3 linked regions of the Canis lupus familiaris genome follow. The protein of the gene in region 2 interacts with the protein of the main gene of each other region in a biochemical or structural test. Links are inferred from orthologs where the notes say so. Each region holds a gene or a part of one and is shown on either strand. Other genes may lie near its edges.

The links. The genes of interacting proteins can lie anywhere in the genome.
Region 1: the proteins of HNRNPA1 (region 2) and PSMD9 interact in a test that uses a peptide from one of them, tested with the Homo sapiens proteins (3 studies listed by BioGRID and IntAct, with this or other methods). The link is inferred for Canis lupus familiaris from reciprocal best matches to the Homo sapiens genes HNRNPA1 and PSMD9.
Region 3: of the proteins of HNRNPA1 (region 2) and PRMT1, one has a biochemical effect on the other in vitro, tested with the Homo sapiens proteins (3 studies listed by BioGRID, with this or other methods). The link is inferred for Canis lupus familiaris from reciprocal best matches to the Homo sapiens genes HNRNPA1 and PRMT1.

The regions. Positions count from the first base shown.
Region 1 is NC_049247.1:7,617,071-7,620,570, reverse strand, and holds part of PSMD9 (26S proteasome non-ATPase regulatory subunit 9), read left to right. Parts: intron 1-602; coding exon 603-704; intron 705-3,500. UniProt on the Homo sapiens protein: Acts as a chaperone during the assembly of the 26S proteasome, specifically of the base subcomplex of the PA700/19S regulatory complex (RC).
Region 2 is NC_049248.1:45,637,809-45,641,945, forward strand, and holds the start of HNRNPA1 (heterogeneous nuclear ribonucleoprotein A1), read left to right. Parts: upstream 1-1,337; 5' UTR 1,338-1,590; coding exon 1,591-1,605; intron 1,606-2,156; coding exon 2,157-2,273; intron 2,274-2,580; coding exon 2,581-2,727; intron 2,728-2,856; coding exon 2,857-3,067; intron 3,068-3,165; coding exon 3,166-3,258; intron 3,259-3,354; coding exon 3,355-3,447; intron 3,448-3,708; coding exon 3,709-3,783; intron 3,784-3,976; coding exon 3,977-4,135; intron 4,136-4,137. UniProt on the Homo sapiens protein: Involved in the packaging of pre-mRNA into hnRNP particles, transport of poly(A) mRNA from the nucleus to the cytoplasm and modulation of splice site selection.
Region 3 is NC_049222.1:107,526,227-107,529,726, reverse strand, and holds the end of PRMT1 (protein arginine N-methyltransferase 1), read left to right. Parts: intron 1-341; coding exon 342-429; intron 430-534; coding exon 535-650; intron 651-1,559; coding exon 1,560-1,710; intron 1,711-1,985; coding exon 1,986-2,107; intron 2,108-3,174; coding exon 3,175-3,258; 3' UTR 3,259-3,476; downstream 3,477-3,500. UniProt on the Homo sapiens protein: Arginine methyltransferase that methylates (mono and asymmetric dimethylation) the guanidino nitrogens of arginyl residues present in proteins such as ESR1, histone H2, H3 and H4, FMR1, ILF3, HNRNPA1, HNRNPD, NFATC2IP, SUPT5H, TAF15, EWS, HABP4, SERBP1, RBM15, FOXO1, CHTOP, MAP3K5/ASK1, MICU1 and NPRL2.

The DNA of each region.
Region 1 (3,500 bases), on a different chromosome or scaffold from region 2:
AATCCAGGTCCTGCCAACTGACTTTAATGATTACAGGATGGTTCTATATGAGCTTTGTTTTACTTCTCTATCCACAGCTCTAGCACAGAGCTGTAATAGGCCCATGACAAATATTAGTTGAAGGAATGAATGAATTGTGATCTGTGTTCTTAGGATGAAAGGGTCACACTATTCCTGGGTCAGCCTGGTGTCTGTGCATGTGGGGACTTGTAGAGCAAAATTGCCTAAATTCTGACCCCTGAACAAAATAGGCCCAGATTAGCCTGTCTCTTTTCGCCCCTGACCCCAGAAGATAGCATTTGGCTTTTCCCCACATTCTTTAAGGCCTGTACAACTGCCAGCTTTTATCAGACATCAGATAGAACTGGCCCCCTTTTACTAGATCGTCCTAGAAGGAATCCCCGGGAGCAGGTGACCCAATTATCTACCACCTCCTCCTGTGTGAGGTAGCCAAATCCCTGACCTCTTTGCTTTGTGCCTACCACTCTTCCCAGTAGAAAACAAGCTGTTGGCCTGGACATTAAATTGGATATGAAAGGGTAAAGAACACCAGAAGCACATTTAACCTCTACCCTGATTTTCTGTTTTTCTTCTCTCTTTAGGGTCTGCAAGTGGATGATGAGATTGTGGAGTTTGGCTCTGTGAACACCCAAAACTTCCAGTCTCTGCATAACATTAGCAATGTGGTGCAGCACAGTGAGGGGGTGAGTTGGAGGTCACATCTGGTCAGTAACCCTAGAATTGCCAATGCCAGGATTGTCTCTGGGGTCTTTCTTTGCGGCCTTCAGAGAGCTGTTGCTCAGGCACAGGGCCTTTGCACTTGCTGTTCTCTCTGTCTGGAATGCTTTTTCTCCCTTATGTGTATCCCTCATCTTGTACAAATGACACCTGGGCTAGGCCTTTGCAGCCACCCTATATAAATACCCTTTTCCTACTTCCTATCCCTTCTTTCATTCAACAGTGTTTCTCAGGGAATCTTTTCACTTTCACATGCCTTGATCTTTTGTCCTGCTGCATGGCACTCCGTTGTAGGAATGTACTCCAGTTTGTCCGTCCCCTGCCTTATCAATGGACATTTTGGTTATTTATGGTTTTATTCTAGCATGAACAGTCATATATCCTTGTTCACAGATGACTTTTTTTTTTTTTTAATTTATGATAGTCACAGAGAGAGAGAGAGAGAGAGGCAGAGACACAGGCAGAGGGAGAAGCAGGCTCCATGCACCAGGAGCCCGACGTGGGATTCGATCCCGGGTCTCCAGGATCGCGCCCTGGGCCAAAGGCAGGCGCCAAACCGCTGCGCCACCCAGGGATCCCAACTTTTTTTTTTTTTTTTTTTTTTTAAGATTTTATTCATTTATTCATGAGAGACAGAGAGAGAGAGGCAGAGACATAGGCAGAGGGAGAAACTCATGAGAGACACAGAAAGAGAGGCAGAGACATAAGCAGAGGGAGAAGCAGGCTCCTCACAGGGAGTCCGATGTGGGACTCGATCCCAGGATCACGCCCTGAGCGAAAGGCAGACGCTCAACCACTGAGCCACCCAGATGTCTCTACGGGCAACTTCTTGATATAAATACCAGAAAGTAAAACAAACAAACAAACACCCCAGAAAGTAGAATTATAGGCTCTCAGTGTATTATGCACACTTATAATAGGTAGTTCAAAAAAGTTTTGCTAATTTGTGTCCTGACCAACATTATGAGTGTACCATATCATCAGTAGTACTCTGTATTACTGATCTTTTAACATTTTTGCTAAAATGACATCTTGCATTAATTTGTATTTTTCTGATTACCAGTGAGGTTGAGTATCTTTTTTTTTTTTTTTTTTTTTTTTTTTTTTTTTTTTTTTTTTTTTGAGTATCTTTATTTTATATTTGGATTAATGTTCATATTTTTGTTTCTGTGGATTGTCTGTTTATATTTTTTCCATTTTTTTAATTGGGCTATTTGTCCTTTTAAAAAAATTGATTTGTTGGAATTTTTAAAAAAGGATTTTTTTTTTATTTATTTGAGAGAGAAGGGGAGAGAGAGAGCTTGAGTACAGAGGGAGAGGGAGAAGCAGACTCCCCACTGGGCAGGGAGCCGGCAGTGGGGCTCTATCACAGGACCCTGAGATCATGACCTGAGTTGAAGGCAAATGCTTAATCGACTGAGCCACCCAGGCACCCAAATTTATAGGAATTTTTTTAACATACTCCAGATACTAAACCTTGGCCTGTTTTCATGATATATATGTTTCTCCTGATTATCTCTTTGTCTTTTAACTTATTTTATGGTGACTTAGAAAGTTTGGTTTTTTTTTTTAAGTTAGTTAACCATTTTGTTACATTTGTTAATATAACAAGGTCTTCCCAGCCAAAACCATACCTGAGAATTTAAAGAAAGAAGGGACAGTGCACAGTAGCAAAGCACTATTCACACAGTAGTACCTTAGAACATGATTCATGTGCAGTTTGACAATTTCAATCCTTGGAAATATAATAAGGGTTGGGATTCAAAATTGGCTGCAATCCACCAGTTTCTGGAATAGTATGCCTTTAAATAGCATTTCTACCTGATCACCTCAGCTCATGGCTCAGGAATGTAACTTTCACAAAAGTTATCTTGGCAAAAAGATCCACACTTTGCAGGAGAAACAGGGACTCAGAGTCCATAGAAATTATCTACAAAAGTTTTTCATTCCCAAATGAAGTATTCAGTTTGACAGTAATTCTTGGTTTGTCTTGCGCCTGCTCAGCTGTTTGGCTGCGTTGCTCATCCATGTGTAACTCTTTGGAAGGCAGGCATTAGGCTGAAACATAGCTGGCTGGTACCTGTGCCCCAGCCAGTTGTCAGGCCTTCATTCTCACACTGACACCTTCACCAAGTCTGCACTTGCATGGAGGAGGTTCAGGAGTTTGATTTTGCCAGATTCATCAGTTTTTTGCTTTATGGTTTTTGCATTTTGTGTCTGCTTAAAGAACTTCTCACGCTTTTATGGATTTGTTTTTAGTTTTTCTTTAATCCATGTGGAATTGATCTATTTATTTTTATTTTTTTAGTGAAGGGAAGAGAGAGAGGCAGGGAGAAGGGCAGAAGGAGAGAGAATCTTAGGCAGGCTCCATTCCCAGCATGGAGCCCAACACAGGGCTTGATTCACAACCCTGAGATCATGACTAGAACCAAAATCAAGAGTCAGCCGCTTAACCACCTGAGACAGCCAGGTGCCCCAGTCTTTGATTATTTCTTATACAACAGTTTTGAGGTATAATTCACATACCATACAGTTTCCCCATTTGGAGTGTCTAGCTCAGGGCACTGGGCTGGCTCAGTCTGTGGAGCATGTGACTCTTGAGGAGTGAGTTTGAGCCCCATGTTGGGTGTAGAGATTACTTAGAAAAATAAAATCTTAAAGAAAACCCTGCATAGCTCCATCGTTTTTAGTATATTCATAGAGTTGTACATCTATTACCACAATTAATTTTAGAAACATTTTCATGACTTCAGAAAGCAGCT
Region 2 (4,137 bases):
TGTCCGCGACGGCAGCGGCTCTTGTTCCGATGCGCGCGGACGCTGCCGGCCAAGCGGGTTCCCGACGACCGGCCGAGCTCCCCTGGGAGCCTCCACGCGCGGGGCGACCAGAAGCCCCGGGGTGCGTGTGCGCGTGCGCGTGCGCGAGCGCGTGGAGCGGTTATGCCGAAGCCGAAGCGACACGCCACAGAGTCAGGGTCTCCCTACCGGAAACGCGTGTGGGGTGAAGGCCCGAGCGCCGGGCGCCGGCGGCCACTGTGGAGAGAACGCGCGCCCCCGCGCCCCCGCGCCCTCCCGCCCGCTCCTCCACAGCCCGCAGCGAGGCCTCCCGCTTCCGCACCGCTGACTGGGCGACCCGCCCGGGCGCCGTCCGCAGGCCGCCCGCCGCCGGCTCCACAGCGGGGCCTCCCCCTCGGAGTCCGCCCGCCGCCTCCGAGGAGCCCAACCTACGGCGCGCTCGGCGCCCATTGGCTCGGCGGGACGCTGCTCAGGGCGCAGGGCCCGCCCCCACGTCCCGAGGGCCCGAGGGCCCGTCCGTCGGCGGCAAAGGCGGACCCGATTGGCCCGCGCGCAAGCCAGTCAGACTCCGGGCCGCGGAGCCCCACGGCACTCCCGGCCGGCAGACATCCCGCCCCCGCCGTCCATTGGTTGGCTGAACCCAGCGCTCCCCCTTTACGAGCCCCCACCCCGCGCTCCATTCATTTCACACAATAACGGGCCCAATTGGAGTCAGTTCAACACCTCGTATGAGTAGGCGAGACGATCCGCCGCTTACCCGGAATCGAGACCGGCCACTCGCGCCAACGCCTCCCCTGTTCCTCTGTGGCGAGGCCGGACCACGGGACGCCGCCGCCGCCGCCTTCTGCGCAACGCCAACCGCCCGCCAAAACGGATCCTTCCCTGCGCCTGCGCGGCCAATCCTGCGACCGGACCCTTTCTCCGCCCATTACGCCTGCGCAGAGCGGGGCGCGACTCCCGCCACGACGCAGGCGCCGTAGAGTCGCCGCCGTCTCCCGCCCGCCATTTCACGTGCTCCAAGCGCCGAGCGGAACTGGTTAGTGCGCCTGCGTAAACTCGCCATTTTACTACACATGCGCCCGGCGGGCGGTCGTTTGCAAAAAAAAAAAAAAAGAAAAAAAAATCACCTGATAACCTCGTTCGTAATATATTAGCATTTACCGTGCTTCGCCAACTGAGCGGAACATAATTTCGGGGCGGAATGGATTGAAAATTCATTTAAATACCTTAGGTTCGTTCAAATATGAATGACTGGTTGACGAGCCAATCACAGTAATTAGGAATAATATTACCCGGGAACCAATAGACCTGAAGGGGCGGAGCCTGCGTAGAACGCCCAAGCGGATGACGTTGCGCAGCAGTGCGGGGCTATAGACCAATAGCAGGGGGAGGCTATCGCAAACATCCAATCAGAGACGCTCAGGGGCGGAGTCTACCAATGCCTAAAGCGAGGAGGCGGGATAAAAAAGCGAGGCCGAAGGTAGGCTGGCAGATACGTTCGTTAGATTACTCCTTTCTGCCCCTGGACGCCGCCGAGTAAGCATCGTTAAAGTCTCCCCTCCCACCGCCGTCATGTCTAAGTCAGAGGTGAGTAACACGCTGTCTCCCGCCTAGTTTCCTTCCTCACTCCTTCCCTGGGGCCGGTAGGACGCGGCCTGGCGTGGCCGCTCGCGCCAGCCCGTTCGGCAGCCCTTCGGGGGCCGCCAGGGCCTTCCCCTCCCGAAGTTGAGGTCGCCATTTTGTCCTCGTCGTCGCCATGAGGCCGCCGTCCTGCAGCGCTTGGCTGTGGCGCCGGGCTGCGCCCTCCCGGCAGAACTCGCGGGCGCATTCGACGGGTTTTGTTTGATCGTGTCTCCGGGAGCGAGTTTCTTGCGGAGCAGCCGTAGTTCCCCGCCGCTTCGGCGTCCGTCCAGCCGAGTCCTTTTGTTGCGCGTGCGTCGGAGGGAGAGTCGGGGCGCATGCGCCCGCGGCCTCCCAGCCCCCACCGCTCGGTCCCCCCCGAGGGGAGAAGCACGTGGCCTCCCGTAACCCGAGGGAACAATACGTGCCTTGTAACGCTGCTGTCTAGGATTTTCCTCCCAACGGGACGGGGCTGGGCGTTGGGCGCGCCACGTAACGAGCTGTGTCCCCGCTCCTAGTCTCCCAAAGAGCCCGAGCAGCTGCGGAAACTCTTCATCGGAGGTTTGAGCTTCGAAACGACCGATGAGAGTCTGAGGAGCCATTTTGAGCAATGGGGGACGCTTACGGACTGTGTGGTAAGACGTGCCGGAGACGGAGGGCCCGGGAGCGAGGTGGCTTCCGCCGCTCCGACGGCGGTTAACGGGACTGGGGCGGAGAGCCGGCCGGCGCCGGAAGGGGTGGTCCCAGCCGCGGAGGCGCTCCCGGGAGGAGATGCACGTGTGGCGGCCCCGGGGAGCCGGAGGGCCTCGTGGGCGGGCGGGGGGGGGGGGGAGGGGGCGCGCTTTTCTTTTTTTTTTTTTTTTTCTTTTTCTTTTTTTAATTTGTAACTCAGCGTGAGAAGTTCCGGGGTTCTCCTCAGTATTCAGGGAGCTCACCTTTCAGGTAATGAGAGACCCCAACACCAAGCGCTCCAGAGGCTTTGGGTTCGTCACGTACGCCACCGTGGAGGAGGTGGACGCGGCCATGAACGCCCGGCCGCACAAGGTGGACGGAAGAGTCGTGGAACCAAAGAGGGCTGTCTCCCGAGAAGTGAGTGAGGGTTTATTCTTTCCTGGGCAGACGCAGAAGCGGGCCGCCAAGGGGACCTCGCGGTTAGGGGTGGCTTGGTCGGTGTAAATAACGGAATTGTGTCCGTCCCGTCCCCCCCCCCAACAATAGGATTCTCAAAGACCCGGTGCCCACTTAACTGTGAAAAAGATTTTTGTCGGTGGCATTAAAGAAGACACTGAAGAACATCATCTAAGAGATTATTTTGAACAGTATGGGAAAATCGAAGTGATTGAGATCATGACTGACCGAGGCAGTGGCAAAAAGAGAGGTTTCGCTTTTGTGACCTTTGATGACCACGACTCTGTAGACAAGATTGTCAGTAAGTGTCGGGCATGCTCTTTGCTACGGCTTCTGAAATCCATGTTACGTTCTAAAGCCTGAGGTCATGTTCTCTTGGAATTTTTTTTTTTTTTTTAGTTCAAAAATACCATACTGTGAATGGCCACAACTGTGAAGTAAGGAAAGCCCTATCGAAGCAAGAGATGGCTAGTGCTTCGTCCAGCCAAAGAGGTGCGTTTGTTCAGTTAATCCTTGCACGTGAGGATTAATTAACTGAGTGATTCTCCAATCCGTATAATGTAACATTTAAAACTTTTGTGTTTTAAGGCCGAAGTGGTTCTGGAAACTTTGGTGGTGGTCGTGGAGGTGGTTTTGGTGGGAATGACAACTTTGGTCGTGGAGGGAACTTCAGTGGTCGAGGTAAGTTTACCACTCAAAGTTAACAATAAATTTATACTTTGATTATCCCCAGGTCCCTTTTTCCTCTGCAGCAGATTAACTCCTGGCTTAAATTTTATCCAAGTGTAGATCTGGCTTTTTACTAACCAGAAAGTTAAATCATCAACATTGGGATCATTTTTGTAGCACAGGAAGTATCTTTATAGAATTCTACTTTAAAACAACATAGAACACGTATACTCTGTACACTTCATGGTGGTTTAAAACTCTACTTTCTTTCAGGTGGCTTCGGTGGCAGTCGAGGTGGTGGTGGATATGGTGGCAGTGGGGATGGCTATAACGGATTTGGTAATGACGGTAAGTTTATTTTAAGGAATATATAGGTGGAGTTTCGTTTGGCAACCTTTAGACTAGGTTAGTAGAGCTAAACTAGTGCATGATAAACAGCTCTGATAACAGCATGCTGTGAGCAGGCTTTTAGGCATTACACTTGCACAGGTTTTGACTGTGAAATACTTTTGTCTTATTGAGAAGAATTGTATTCTTGTAGGTGGTTATGGAGGAGGCGGCCCTGGTTACTCTGGAGGAAGCAGAGGCTATGGAAGTGGTGGACAGGGTTATGGAAACCAGGGCAGTGGCTATGGCGGGAGTGGCAGCTATGACAGCTATAACAACGGAGGAGGCGGAGGCGGCTATGGCGGTGGTAGTGGT
Region 3 (3,500 bases), on a different chromosome or scaffold from region 2:
AGGAATAGCAGGGAAAACAGAAGGGAAGGAGTGGATGGGCCTGAGTGCCTCCCTGTCCTCTCCACCATGAGACTAGTTTTCCTCTCAGGAGCCAGGGAGGGTTCTGCAGAGCCTTTAGAACCTATGAAGGACAGCCCTGACTTTGGTGCTGCTGGATGCTGCCTGGCAGCCATGTGGAGAATAGATGTGGGCATGAGGGCAGAAGCCAGGAACCAGCTAGGAGGCCATTGTAGGAAGCCCGGTGGCTCAGACCAGGGTGGGGATAGAGACCCAAGTTGTTGTGGTCTGGGGGCACGGTTCCAAGGCCCCCCCCTTCACACCCTCACCTGACCCCTTGGCAGGCACCTGATGGCCTCATCTTCCCGGACCGAGCCACGCTGTATGTGACAGCCATCGAAGACCGGCAGTACAAAGACTACAAGATTCACTGTGAGCTGGGGGGGAGGGGGGCATAGCAGCTTGAGGTGGGGGGGAGGCAGGTTTGGCCTGGGCACCCCTAATGGGCTCACCCCTCCTCCCTGCCTGACACCCCAGGGTGGGAGAACGTGTACGGCTTTGACATGTCCTGCATCAAAGACGTGGCCATCAAGGAGCCCCTGGTGGACGTGGTAGACCCCAAGCAGCTGGTCACCAACGCCTGCCTCATAAAGGTGAGGGGGGCGGTGATTGTGGCCTGGGGTCCCCAGGGTTGGAACCAAAGAAGGCCCACCACCTGACCCCAGCAAGACATCAGGTCCCTCAGTTCCTACCTGAGATCTGGGAGTCCAGCCTGTGACTAGAGGTGGCGCTAGAGGCCTGGGGAAGCTGCTTCATTGCGAGCTAAGCCTGGTGAGCTAAGCCTGGCGGGTGGTTCCAGGCCCCCAGCGAGCAAGACCAAGACCGGACTAGCTGGCCCTGCTCCGGGGGAGAAGCACTCCAGAGGGGTGTCCCTGAGCCAGGCAGCTAGGACCCTTTGCCAGCACACAAAGAGCAGGAAGCCCAAGGCCTAGAGTGAGTTTATACACACGGGGGCTGCTGTTAATCCTTTGTTGTGACCAGTTCATGAGCCCCTTGGTGTCCGGCATGTGCTGGGTTGGGACCGCACTGGGAGCTGGACAGAGGGGTGAATCCTAGGGTTGCTCTGACTGTGAGGGGCGGCCCAAACCTGGTGGAGGAGGAGGAAGTCTAGAGCGTGTGGACACAGAACAGCTGGGAGGGTGGGCGCCAGGGAGCCCTCGGAGGGTGTTGAGCAGGGCTTTGACATGATCTAATTGACAGTGTTTCAAAATTATTGTGTTGATTGGTATGTCGAGTTTAGGGCTATGGTGGGGGGAGGGTGGAAGTTGGGGAGTCCCGAGAAGAGCCACTGTGTGGGTGGCCCCGGGCAGGCCTTGGAGAAGAGGAGCACCAGGCAGTTCTCCCAAGCAGAAGCAGGGGCTCTGGAAAGTAGGACTCTCTAGCCTGGGGCTTAGGATGTGGGAGAGAAGGGAATGGGGGCAGCAGCGTGGCTCCCCCCAGGCTTTTCTGCTGAATGCTGGGCTGGGTGTTGGGGAGTGGGGCTCACGGGGCCTGTCCCGCAGGAGGTGGACATCTATACTGTCAAGGTGGAGGACCTGACCTTCACCTCCCCCTTCTGCCTGCAAGTGAAGCGGAATGACTACGTGCACGCCCTGGTGGCCTACTTCAACATCGAGTTCACCCGCTGCCACAAGAGGACGGGCTTCTCCACCAGTGAGCATGGGGCAGGGCCTGGGGGATGGGGGAGGACCAGGAACCAGTGGAGGGAGCCAGGGGGACACTGGGGACCCAGGCTGTGCTGCAGGCTCTGCTGGCTCCCCTGAGCATGTCATGTCTTCATTTCCCTACTTGGAAACCATAGACAGCAGGCCCTCTTCGAGGCTTGTGGTGGGTAAAAGGATTCAGGGACAGCGGACCCCAGTCAAGGCTCCATAAAGGTCTTGGGGGGTGGGCAGGAAGCCTGGGAGCTGATCTGACTGTATCCCCAGGCCCTGAGTCCCCGTACACGCACTGGAAGCAGACCGTGTTCTACATGGAGGACTACCTGACCGTGAAGACGGGCGAGGAAATTTTTGGCACCATTGGCATGCGGCCCAATGCCAAGAATAATGTGAGGCGCTGCTGGGGGGTGAGGGGGTGGGCTCAGGTGGGGACACCTCTCTCGACCTGTTTTGGAGCCCCAGCAGCCCTCAGCCAAGTTGAGTCTGCCACCCCTGGGGAGACCCTGAGTCAATGGGAGGCAGAGGGTCTGGAACCTGGAGTCCAGGGCAGGGGCCCAGGCTAGGAGTGCCAAACTGCGGGTGTGGTGGAGGGGGTGCCCCAAAGCCATGCCCCTTTTCTAAGGGAGGCTAGAGGTCCTCCACTGCCCACCAGGGGCAGTTTTGCTGCCACCAGTGCCCCCCCCGCCCCGGGACATCTGTTGCTATCTGGAGACATTTTGGATTCTCACACAACTGGAGGAGGGATGCTATTGGCATCCAGCACAGGACAACAAAGAGTCCTGGACCCTGGCTCCCGGTGTCCATAGTAACAGAGTGTGGGAAACCCCAGAGTAAAGCAACAGGAGGAGAGGCCTAGAGGAGCAGGGAGGAAACCTGGGGGCCTGGGGCGCTGCGCTGTGCTGCGCTGCGCCAGGAGGCCTGAGGGCAGAAGTCATCAGGGTTACTGGCGACCTTGGCCCAAGCTTTTCCAGGGAGCACTGGGGGGTGGGGAGCCCGGAAGGAAGATCGGCTTCCAGGAAGCTTGGAAGCAGAGGACGTGCGGACAGTGGGGTTGGGACCAGTGGATCCTGCCGAGGAGGAGGAAGTGTGCTGGAAGAGAGGTTTGCTTCTCAGAAAAGAGGGAAGGAGCAACTTCCCTCTGCTTTACTGATGGGAATGTTTTTGATGGGGAACAGTCTTTATGCAAGAGACAGAGCAGCTGGGCTCTGCCCTGAGCGGGGGCAGGTCTGGCTGGGTTCCAGGTGCGTTTGAGGGTGTCCCAGGAGCTGTCACTGGGAGGCAGGGTTGAGGACATGCTGAGGGAGCAACAGTGTGGAGTCTTCCAGCCTGATGTGGGGTCTCTGGGGAGCCTCTGGGAGGGCTGGCCCCCCTCCCCCTGCTGCTGCCTGACTCAGACAGTTCCAGATATCTGCCCGGTCCGTGTCCGGTCCCCTTCACACGTGCCCTCTCCCCACAGCGTGACCTGGACTTCACCATCGATCTGGACTTCAAGGGCCAGCTGTGTGAGCTGTCCTGCTCCACGGACTACCGAATGCGCTGAGGCGGCGCCCGGCTTCTCCCACCCCGCCCGGGCCGGCCCTGCACGGGCCCAGGGGCTGCGGCATTCTTAGGCAGTTTGGGGGCTCCCCCTTCCTCTCCTTCCCTCCCTCAGAAGGGGGTTTTAGGGGCCTGGGCTGGGGCGGGGCACATCGTGACTGTGTTTTTCATAACTTATGTTTTTATATGGTTGCATTTACGCCAATAAATCCTCAGCTGGGATGGCTTGGCTTCCTGGGGGGCGAA